Linked DNA regions of Arabidopsis thaliana. The protein of the gene in region 1 interacts with the protein of each later gene in a pairwise test. Each region holds a gene or a part of one and is shown on either strand. Other genes may lie near its edges.

What was found. Proteins that work in one complex are often made in the same cells at the same time.
Region 2: the proteins of WLIM1 (region 1) and CLA1 interact in a two-hybrid assay, tested with the Arabidopsis thaliana proteins (one study listed by BioGRID).

The regions. Positions count from the first base shown.
Region 1 is NC_003070.9:3,345,835-3,349,732, forward strand, and holds WLIM1 (GATA type zinc finger transcription factor family protein), read right to left. Parts: upstream 2,306-3,898; 5' UTR 1,930-2,305; coding exon 1,795-1,929; exon of another isoform or gene 1,613-1,794; coding exon of another isoform or gene 1,604-1,612; coding exon 1,507-1,603; intron 1,408-1,506; coding exon 1,364-1,407; intron 1,277-1,363; coding exon 1,187-1,276; intron 1,050-1,186; coding exon 843-1,049; 3' UTR 556-842; downstream 1-555. Other genes in the region: MPK1 (mitogen-activated protein kinase 1), read left to right, coding at 3,745-3,898. UniProt on the Arabidopsis thaliana protein: Binds to actin filaments and promotes cross-linking into thick bundles. Has an actin-stabilizing activity. The actin regulatory activities are not regulated by pH and [Ca(2+)].
Region 2 is NC_003075.7:8,882,236-8,888,207, reverse strand, and holds CLA1 (Deoxyxylulose-5-phosphate synthase), read right to left. Parts: upstream 4,384-5,972; 5' UTR 3,991-4,383; coding exon 3,841-3,990; intron 3,558-3,840; coding exon 3,432-3,557; intron 3,349-3,431; coding exon 3,033-3,348; intron 2,927-3,032; coding exon 2,655-2,926; intron 2,568-2,654; coding exon 2,294-2,567; intron 2,217-2,293; coding exon 1,909-2,216; intron 1,827-1,908; coding exon 1,545-1,826; intron 1,467-1,544; coding exon 1,182-1,466; intron 1,095-1,181; coding exon 954-1,094; 3' UTR 541-953; downstream 1-540.

The sequences.
Region 1 (3,898 bases):
CCATTGATTTAAATCATTTTGGTAGATTTACAATAGGGCTAATAAGTATGTCTACTTTCTACTTGTAATTAATTTCATATCATTGTATTATATCTATAGTAGCCATTATTTTCCCGATTTTTCCTTGAAGACAATAACATTAAAACAAAAAATCCATGAATCAATATGTTTTGTTTTTACAAATTCAAGTTCACGAAGTACTTTGCAAAATTTTTGTTAGCCTTCTCCGATTGAGTTTCGGCAAAGGGTTGTTTTCTGTGTTAGTGCGCCTCTTGTGTAGGGGTTTTCGTCGATTGGTCTCCTCCGAGTTGGGACTCATGGGTTTGGTCGTTGGGCCTATTAATGTTATGGGTTGTCTCTCTTGTTTCGGTTTGTTACCCTTATTTGTTTGTTTTATTTTATGTTTTTAATCTATGTTAACATTTGTAAGGAATTAGCCCAATATGTTTACATCTCCATCCTCTATCTTCACGCGACTTCATCATCCTCTCTGCCAAGAGTAACAAATTATCAATAACCTGAATCAACGATGGTAGCAATTGAATCGATCATTTAGCTGAAGCTTAAACTTCACGAAAATTAATTTATATCATATGAACGTAATACATATATATCTCATAAGCAAACATCCATTATTTCTTTGTTTCTCTAGTTTCATTTCAAGAAACCCAATAAAAGAGTGAACAAAGGTCCCAAAAAAAAAAAAACATATTAAAGACCAAAAAGAAAAACACAAACGTAGGAAGAAACAAAACCAATATATGTTATCGATCGATGGAGAAGTAGTGACTCTTTTGATTCTTCGATAGTCAAAATCATCCCAGAGAGATTGAATTGTTTCTTTAAGCAGCGACGACTTTGTCCTTGGCGGCATTCTCTCCTCCTCCTTCGAGCTGGCTCAAGTTTCCTTTCTCCTTGATCAGCTGAATATGATGATGCTTGCAATATAGCTTACCCTCGTGAGCTATGTAATTCGAAGGGCTTATCGTGCAGCCTCCATGTGTACACTTGAAGCAGCTCTTGTGGTACAATGTTCCATTCACCGATACCTACACAAAGTCCACATTATAAGCAATGTTTCAGCTCTGGTTTAAGCCAAGAACAGATCAGATTCGTTATGGAAACAATCTAACAATCTTCTTTGACACAACTTGATTCTGATCAGGAAAGATTTGAGATTGGATACCTTCTCAATTGGATACACGGTTTTGTCGCAACCAACGCATTTCTCTCGTGTTCCACCAAACATATTCGAAACTTTGGTTCCAGCAGGTCTCTGTTAAACTTCTCTCATGTTAAATGTTAAAAAAATTCAAGAACCTCAAAAACAGAAAAAGGGTTTTGTTCTGCTGTCCGAAAGTACCTCTCCCTCCAAAGGCCTATCAGGTTTCCCAATCTTTGGTGTCCCTGTACATATATATGAATCAAACTTTAGATAGATAATTCCAAATTTGAAATCCCCACTCACAAAGCTTTTCACATTTTGATCTGTTTTTGGTAATTTACCTTCGAAGCTTTTCTCAAGACTTCCAGTTCTCTTGAAGTTTTGATCGAAATGTGGTCTGCAGTAGAGAACTCCTTCAAAGGAGTTGTAATTGCTAAGCTGACTCATCAAGAAGAAGAAGAAGAAGAAGAAGAAACAGAACAGTCAAATCTTTAGACCAATCAGTTTCCATAGCCAAAAATTCAAAGATTTCTACTTAATTGATTGGACTTCTTCATCTACATATATATCTACTAGATCTACTTCTGGATTAATGAGAAATCATCACAAACTAGAATCAAAGATCAAACCTTGAGAGTTCCTTTGCAATGGTGACATCGGAAACAAGCTTTGTGGTAGACCCGGTTATCGGCGGTTAACTTGTCGACAAGATAAACTGTTTTGTCACATGCCATGCATTTCTGGGTTGTTCCTGCGAACGCCATTCTTGTAAGAGATCAGACTAAAAGACTCAGGAAAAAAGAAAGAAGCTCAATAGTCTTGAGAGAGAGAGAGAGATAAAGAAGAATAAGATGAAGATGAAAGAAAGAGATTGTCAATTATTGTTGCTTGTTTTAATATGGGGACCAGATATATTGAAAAATGAACATGCTTCTTCTTTTTAAATATTTAAAGTAAAATTCTTTTAGGAAAAATTGAAATTTTTAATAAAATGTCACAAACAAAAAAGTTCAAGATGAGTATCGAATTTTGGATGCAAATTCGAATATTTGGTGTTTCTGACAACCCTAGCATTGTTTTTCGTGGTTGTCTAATCCACAAAACAAGATAAGCGATGAATAAATAAATAATTTGAACGTTAGCAACAAAACTAAAAACTGTACTACAAAAAGAAAAGGTTTCAACGGCATTTTTTGTGTTCTTAATTATTTTTGTCCAAACTTGAAGTAACCCGTCAATATCTGTCTCCTAGATATTTTGCTTATATTTTTTTTACATTAATTCAGTTCTTTTATATCTAGAGTCAGGTAATTATTTAGAGAATGCATGCAGTTGCTTGACAGTGCGTAAGATTTACACAAATTTTTCTCAACAGTGAAGGCAATGCTCAATAGTCAATAACTGTTTGTAAGGAAATAGAACAGGGAAAACCAACTGGAAAGAATCTTTGTCTGGTTTTAGATAATGATTAAAAGCTGTATTGGTTATGTTGAATTAGTTGGAAATCTCTAAATATCTATACACTATTTATTTTCTTTAATACTATATGTTGTGTAGTGTGTATATGAATAATGAAAATATCTGAAACATGCTTTACCATAAAGGCTTTTGATGAGCTGTAGTATTGACATAATTGGTTGAAGAGAATGAGTGATCATAATGATACCTAACATCTTTTATTTAATCAAAAATACCTAACGTTATTTTTATTTGCTACTATAATAGACTCCAACCAATTTATTAGTATCATTTTATACAGTTTCTAACATTTTTGCCACTGCTTAGATTTATGGGCTTTCCCTTTCTGTCTGCATGGGCCTCCTCTCTTATATTAATAATCTGACTTAATGAAAACTTTTAAATCTTTTGTAGTTTATTTTCCTCTAGATGCTAATTTTAGCAAAATGAAAAGATGTGTGATGGAAACGTAAAGTTAAAGCAAAAGAAGATGGTGAATTGGTGATGCAATATTTTAGTCATGTGTCATTGTTTACATTTATGATATATTTTACTTTAAAATACTTTTCTTCATTTTCAATTTTTATAAATCTTCGTAGAACACATATTCACAAATGATGCTACTTTGGTGATCAGTTACTAAAAAATACCGAAATTGATTTTAGAAGATAGAGACGTGAATCTGTTTGCCAATATTAATTGGGCTCAACTTAAGCCCAAATTATATAAGGAAAGACTACCTAGTAACGAACAAGTAGCAGGTCAACTGTCCGAGCGTTGGCCAAATCTCTCTCACTTCCACAGGTTTCTCTCTCCGGCCAAATCTAACCTCCGGGGAACGTCGTTGGTCACTTATCACCGGTTAGAATTTCCTTCCCGCTTTATCCCGTAAACTTTTTTCCCATTGATTCCGATCGTTTATGTTCCTTCACCAAATCGATAAAGTTTGATCTTTTTCCTTTTCACTATTATTAACAGACCAATCTGTTTACACAAGAAATCTACAGTAACTTATCACTTGAAAAGTTTTGATAAATAGTTAGTATAATAATTTGTTAATTGTGTGTGTAAATTTGATTTCTTGATTGTGTGTGAATTGTGATGAAGAGGGAAAACAAAAAATGGCGACTTTGGTTGATCCTCCTAATGGGATAAGGAATGAAGGGAAGCATTACTTCTCAATGTGGCAAACTCTGTTCGAGATCGACACTAAGTACATGCCTATCAAGCCTATTGGTCGTGGAGCTTACGGTGTTGTCTGCTCCTCTGTTAACA
Region 2 (5,972 bases), on another chromosome or scaffold:
ACTAATTTTCTCATCCATTCTAACTTTAATCTATAGATTAAATTGATCAATTTATTTAAGATTTACATTATAGTATATTTAATTGGTGAAGATAAATTTATATATAAAATTGATTACATTCATCTTTATGAACCAAAAAAAATAAATCCTAAAATCATCTTTTTAGTGAAAGAGGAAGTATATTAGATATAAACATAATTAAGATACTATATCTTTTCTTTTCATTTTTTTATTCAATTTAATTATGATTACACTATTTTATATTTATTAGGTATAGATAAATTCCCAAGTAAAGTATACTTAATAAGTAAAACTGAATACATTCATCTTTATGAAAGCAAACTATAATCATAATCATCTTATTTAGTGAGAGTAATTATTAGATAAGATTATAAGAACATAATGAAGATACTCTATTATTGTCTAATATTTTCTTAACAAGAGAACTCTCTTCTGTAGATAGAGTCTTTCAATGCCTTTAGGCTCTTTGGGGATATTTTGAAAAAAAAAATACTTGTATCCAATCTTGTAAAACCGGATTGGAATGTAAACCGGAAAGTGGTTCGGGTCACTGCATTGGTACGTTCGATCGTCAGTCAATGAGGCCATATATATAGGTCCAGGTTTAAAAACACTGCTCGTACCAAAATATGTCACACAAAGCTATGAAAGATACACAAAGAGATGTAATTGATTTTTACAAGATGTTAGATTATTGTACAACACGATCTCCATCACAATCCTAAACAAAATTACAAAACAAATACCAGTTTTATCATAATACTAATCTTTGCACAACCTTTGCCTTTGCCTTTCTCTTCACAATCTTAGTAAATATATATAGCTGTTGCCAAAGGACTTCTCGGCGGGAATTCTGATCAGTACTTAGAAGAAACCTTGGGTTGCATTTAGAGTGTTTGTATACATATGTTTTAGCCAACAGATTCTTACTCTCAAAACAGAGCTTCCCTTGGTGCACCGATTAAGTTAAGTGCGGTTGCTGCGATGTGAGATGGCATGAGTCCAGCTTCAGCTAGTTGATCAGCTGGTGCACCGTGATCAATGTATCGATCAGGCAGTACCATTGGTCTCCACTGTATATTCAAACAGTTGCAAATTAGAAACAGTATTTTTTGAAAAGACAGAAAAATATTAGAGAGTTTCTGGAAGTAATAAGTAACCTTGAGTTTGCCATCAAGAAGACCATCGAGAGCAAGAAACTGAACAACGTGCGAGCCAAAACCTCCAATGGAACCTTCTTCAACCGTGATCAGAACCTCGTGCGACTTAGCTAAGCTGCGAATGAGAGCACGGTCCAATGGCTTGCAAAACCGTGCATCCGCTACAGTTACGTTTAATCCGCGTTCTTCGAGCATTACAGCCGCTCCTAAACAGCTCTGAACTGCTGAGCCATAACCCAACAACGCAACTCTCTCTCCTTCCTTTAAAATTCTACCTTTCCCAATCTGAAATACACCCAAAGAGATTTTCTATCTCAAAATGATGAAGGAAGAGAGACATATTTGAGAGGACCAAAGTTATACCTCAATTGGAACACCTTTGTTTCCGGGAGGTAATGCAACTCCAATACCGTTACCTCTAGGGTAACGGAAACAAGAAGGACGATCATCAATCGCAACAGCAGTTGCAACCATGTTAAAGAGATCTGCTTCATCTGATGGAGCCATCACTATCATGTTAGGAAGACAAGCCATAAATGTCACATCGAAAGCTCCACAATGTGTCGGACCATCAGCTCCAACGAGTCCAGCTCTATCCATTGCAAATCTCACCGGTAATTTTTGCAAATCAACATCATGGACAACCTACAGAGAAGGCCACCATATACTCTATTAGTTTCTTAAAATGTTTTATTACAAAGTAAAATGATTAAGATGTTGAACTTGCCTGGTCATAAGCACGCTGCATGAAAGACGAATAGATTGCACAGAAGGGTTTAAGGCCTTCACAGGCTAAACCCGCAGCAAAAGTAACTGCGTGTTGTTCCGCTATTCCTACATCGAAACATCTTGTTGGGAAGCGACGTTGAAAGAGATTTAACCCGGTTCCACCTCCCATGGCTGCATGAATCGCAACCACATCTTTGTCTACCTCTGCTTCTGCGACTAATGCCTCCGCAAAGTAAGTTGTGTAAGATTGAGTCTTATTAGTAGTTTTGAACTGTCTACCCGTTGCTGGATCAAATTTCACAACACCTGAAAGAAAAATAATCAATATATATATCCCACTGCTTAGGAACTAGAGAAAACGTTATCTATCTAACTTGTTTTACCATGGTATTTGTCATCAGCTCTCTCCGCGTAAGGATAACCACGACCTTTCTCCGTCACCACATGAATAAGTACAGGTCCTGTGGTTCTGGTACTCTTAACTTCTTTAAGAATGGCTACCAAATCATCTATGTTGTGCCCATCAACTGGACCAATATAGTAAAGACCGAGTTCTTCAAACAGTGACGATCCAGTCCCGCTTATCATTCCTCGAGCATACTCATCTACCTTAGCCGCCAACTGATGCATTGGTCCGCCTATTTGCTTTGTCATACCCTATACGCAAGAAAAGCCAAAATTCTCATCAAGTCCATAAAGACCAGTATTCTTTACCATTCTAGAAAAGAAATGCAATAAACTTGCCTTTGCGACTTCTCTCAACTCTCTGAGAGCCGGGTTAGACTGTAACCGACTAAGAGCACTGCTCAATGCACCAACAGGTGGACTTGGTCCATCCAAAGTAGCTGTAGGTAATGAGACTTGCTTGTTGTCATTAAGAATCACAATCATATCAGAGTCTAGATATCCGGCGTTGTTCATGGCTTCATAAGCCTGTCCTGCCGTCATCGCACCATCACCAATCACAGCAACCACATTGTTGTTCTTCCCCTTCAAATCCCTTCCTACCGCCATTCCTGTAAAACTCATATATCTGATTCAGTTCTGTTTTCTTATTACAGTTTACTGTCTAAACACAACAACACAAGGCAAACACACCAAAGGAATGATTGATTGTATTACCTAAACCAGCAGATATTGTGGTTGAGCTGTGTCCAGTACCAAAGCAATCATGTTCACTCTCTCCTCGTTTGGTGAAACCAGAGAGACCATTGGTTTGCCTCATTGTAGGCATCTTTCCTCTTCTCCCAGTAAGAATCTTATGAGGATAAGACTGATGACCAACATCCCAAAGAATCTTGTCTTGTGGAGTATTGAAAATGTAATGAAGAGCCACAGTAAGCTCCACAACACCAAGACTTGACCCCAAATGTCCACCGGTTTTCGACACATTAAAGATCACGTCTGATCTCAGCTCATCAGAAAGTTGTTTCAGTTCCTGCAATAAGTTGTTACCAAATGCCACCAATCCATCAATTTGTAAGAAAGCTAAAACAAATGCATCAAAGCTAGAATCTTTACCTTGACAGAAAGATTTTTCATGTGGATTGGGTAGTTAATAGTGTCAAGTAATGGAGTTGGTGGTCTGTTTGAATAATATTCACCCTTCTCTGCAAGTGAAGCACACACTTTTGCTCTTCTGTTTGACTGTACCACAACACAAAACCCAAATCGCAAAAGCTGTCATTTTCTCTAATCAGTTCCCAGAAATCAGAACCAAAGAAGCAATATTATTGGTCTAATTTCACTATATTTTCCACAGATTTCCAATAAAGTAACTAAGAAAAGGAGTCAAATTTGTTTGACTTTTGTCAAAAACAAAGTAAACCCATTATTTAATTCAAGATTTCAGCAAATGGGCAAGCTACAAAATCTCATAGTTCTTAAATCAAGTTCCATGATGAAGCAGAGAAGAGAGAAGTGAACTTACATGGGAATTGTTGTTGGGTTTCAGACATGGTGATGGAAGATCTGTAACCAAAGATCTAGAAGAAGACAAAGAAGTTGATTTACAAGAATCAGTTGAAAGTCCTCCTTTGGTTATTATGTAAGAAGGAAAAGCAAATGCAGAAGAAGCCATTGGAGGTACTTTTTGAAGCTCAAGAAAGTTGAAAACTTTAGGAATGTAAGTAAAACATATAAGGATTTATAGAGAATAAAATTTAGGCAAATTTTGAGGTTATCAAAAACAGTAAAACAAATGAATAAAACGCACTTTCGAATCCCACTACAAGTGAAAGTGTGTGTTTAAATGTGGTGGTGACAATGGTGGTGGTGGAGAGTTGAAGAAGTATAAAGATGGAGACTTTAAAAAAATGGGGTGATGAAGTAAAACGACAAGAAAGCCAACTTCATGGATCACGAATTTTATGTAACCGTGCTGATGATATTAAAAAAAAAAAAGAGAGAGAAAAAAAGAGATGGTGAGATGGTTCGTCATCCGCAGAGAACTTGAGATTTTGGTTGGGCCACGTCAACCATGAAATCCAAGTTTTGGATAGATATTGATGATATTATTTATATACGTTAGTACATGTGTATATTGTTTGTTCCTTATTTCATTTATAAAGTTCTTTAAAAAGAAAATGAAAGAAAAGAAAATAAATAAATATATTCACGCATACATACCAAAGACGATAAAGGCAATATAATCTTTTGTGGTATAAAGAAATGGAATTTAAAATGATTATAGAAGAATTGTAATTTGATTTTTTTTTAATAAAAAAATTAACAAGTTTAGCAGGTACTGACAAAGAAAAAAATCTTTACAGTTTTTGATAAAATTGGAAACGTATATTTGTATACAGAAAAAAATCCTACTTTATATATTTCTATATATATATATAATTTCACACTATTATCTTCAATGATATTCCTCTGTTTCTACAAGAATAATTTTTAGATGTTTTACAAGAAAAATTTTTAAAAATAGCTTTTACAGTTTGTTATTTTTATTAATTTAATAATATTAATTTTACTTTTTTCTTTGTTTTTGTCAACAATTTTCTCCTCTTTCTATCGGTAACAAATGAAAGTAAATAATAATGTTGATATAAACATCAAACTATTAGAAACAAAAGGAGTATTTAATATAACCAAGATAGTGCGGTAGTGTCGTAACTCGTAAGTGTATGATTTGGGTTAGTAACTTAGTATTATCGATCTTATTACATTAATAAAGTTTAATATCATATTAAACAACTACATAGATTAAATTTTATGATATTATCACATTATTAAATGAGCGAGAATCACGTTACAAATCCGACAAAACATATAATATTTGACATTCTTGATTATTGGGTTTCAATTGAGTCAAATATGAATAAACAAAACTTACATGAAAGTTTAAGTTTAAGTGTTTAACTAACGACAGTTCCATCACAAAAAGAAAAATTGTAATCACGCGGTTCATTTTATAATATATCAAAACTTATTAAGAAAACAAGCATGTTAAATTGATATGTTAAATTTTTAAATATTGCATTTTCAAAATGATATGTTATTTTTAACTAATTTTTAATGGTGGTTTTTCGATTTTCAATTAGTTTGAATATAACAGTTGGATAAAATTTTGTCGAAACTGCTTGAAATGCAAGATGACAATATTATCAGCTTGTCAGAAATACGTATATGCCAAATTTTCATCATAACGTTTTTTGGAAACTCTCAGATTCAAAGATATTTCTTGAATCTTCTGACAGACAAACTATTGTTTGATCATAATAAACCGACAAAACAATTAATGTATATGCACGTATACATCATAAATATACAAATACGTATTCTCTACCAAAACATTGTAATAGAAAATCGCCTAAAATGTACGAGGCATTCAAATTACTATGTTATTGTTGAAAGCATACCATATTGACGACTTAGTGAATATGACTAAGTAAACTAGATCAATAAACACAAAACCTAGTTCTCAAACTTGATTTTTTCATAAAAAAGTTGTCTTATCAATAGATTGAGAGGTTTTCAAAAAGTTCAAAATATCAAAACGAATAGAGAAGATCTCGAGAGATTGGATAGTTGTGCGAATGCACTCTGATAAACCAT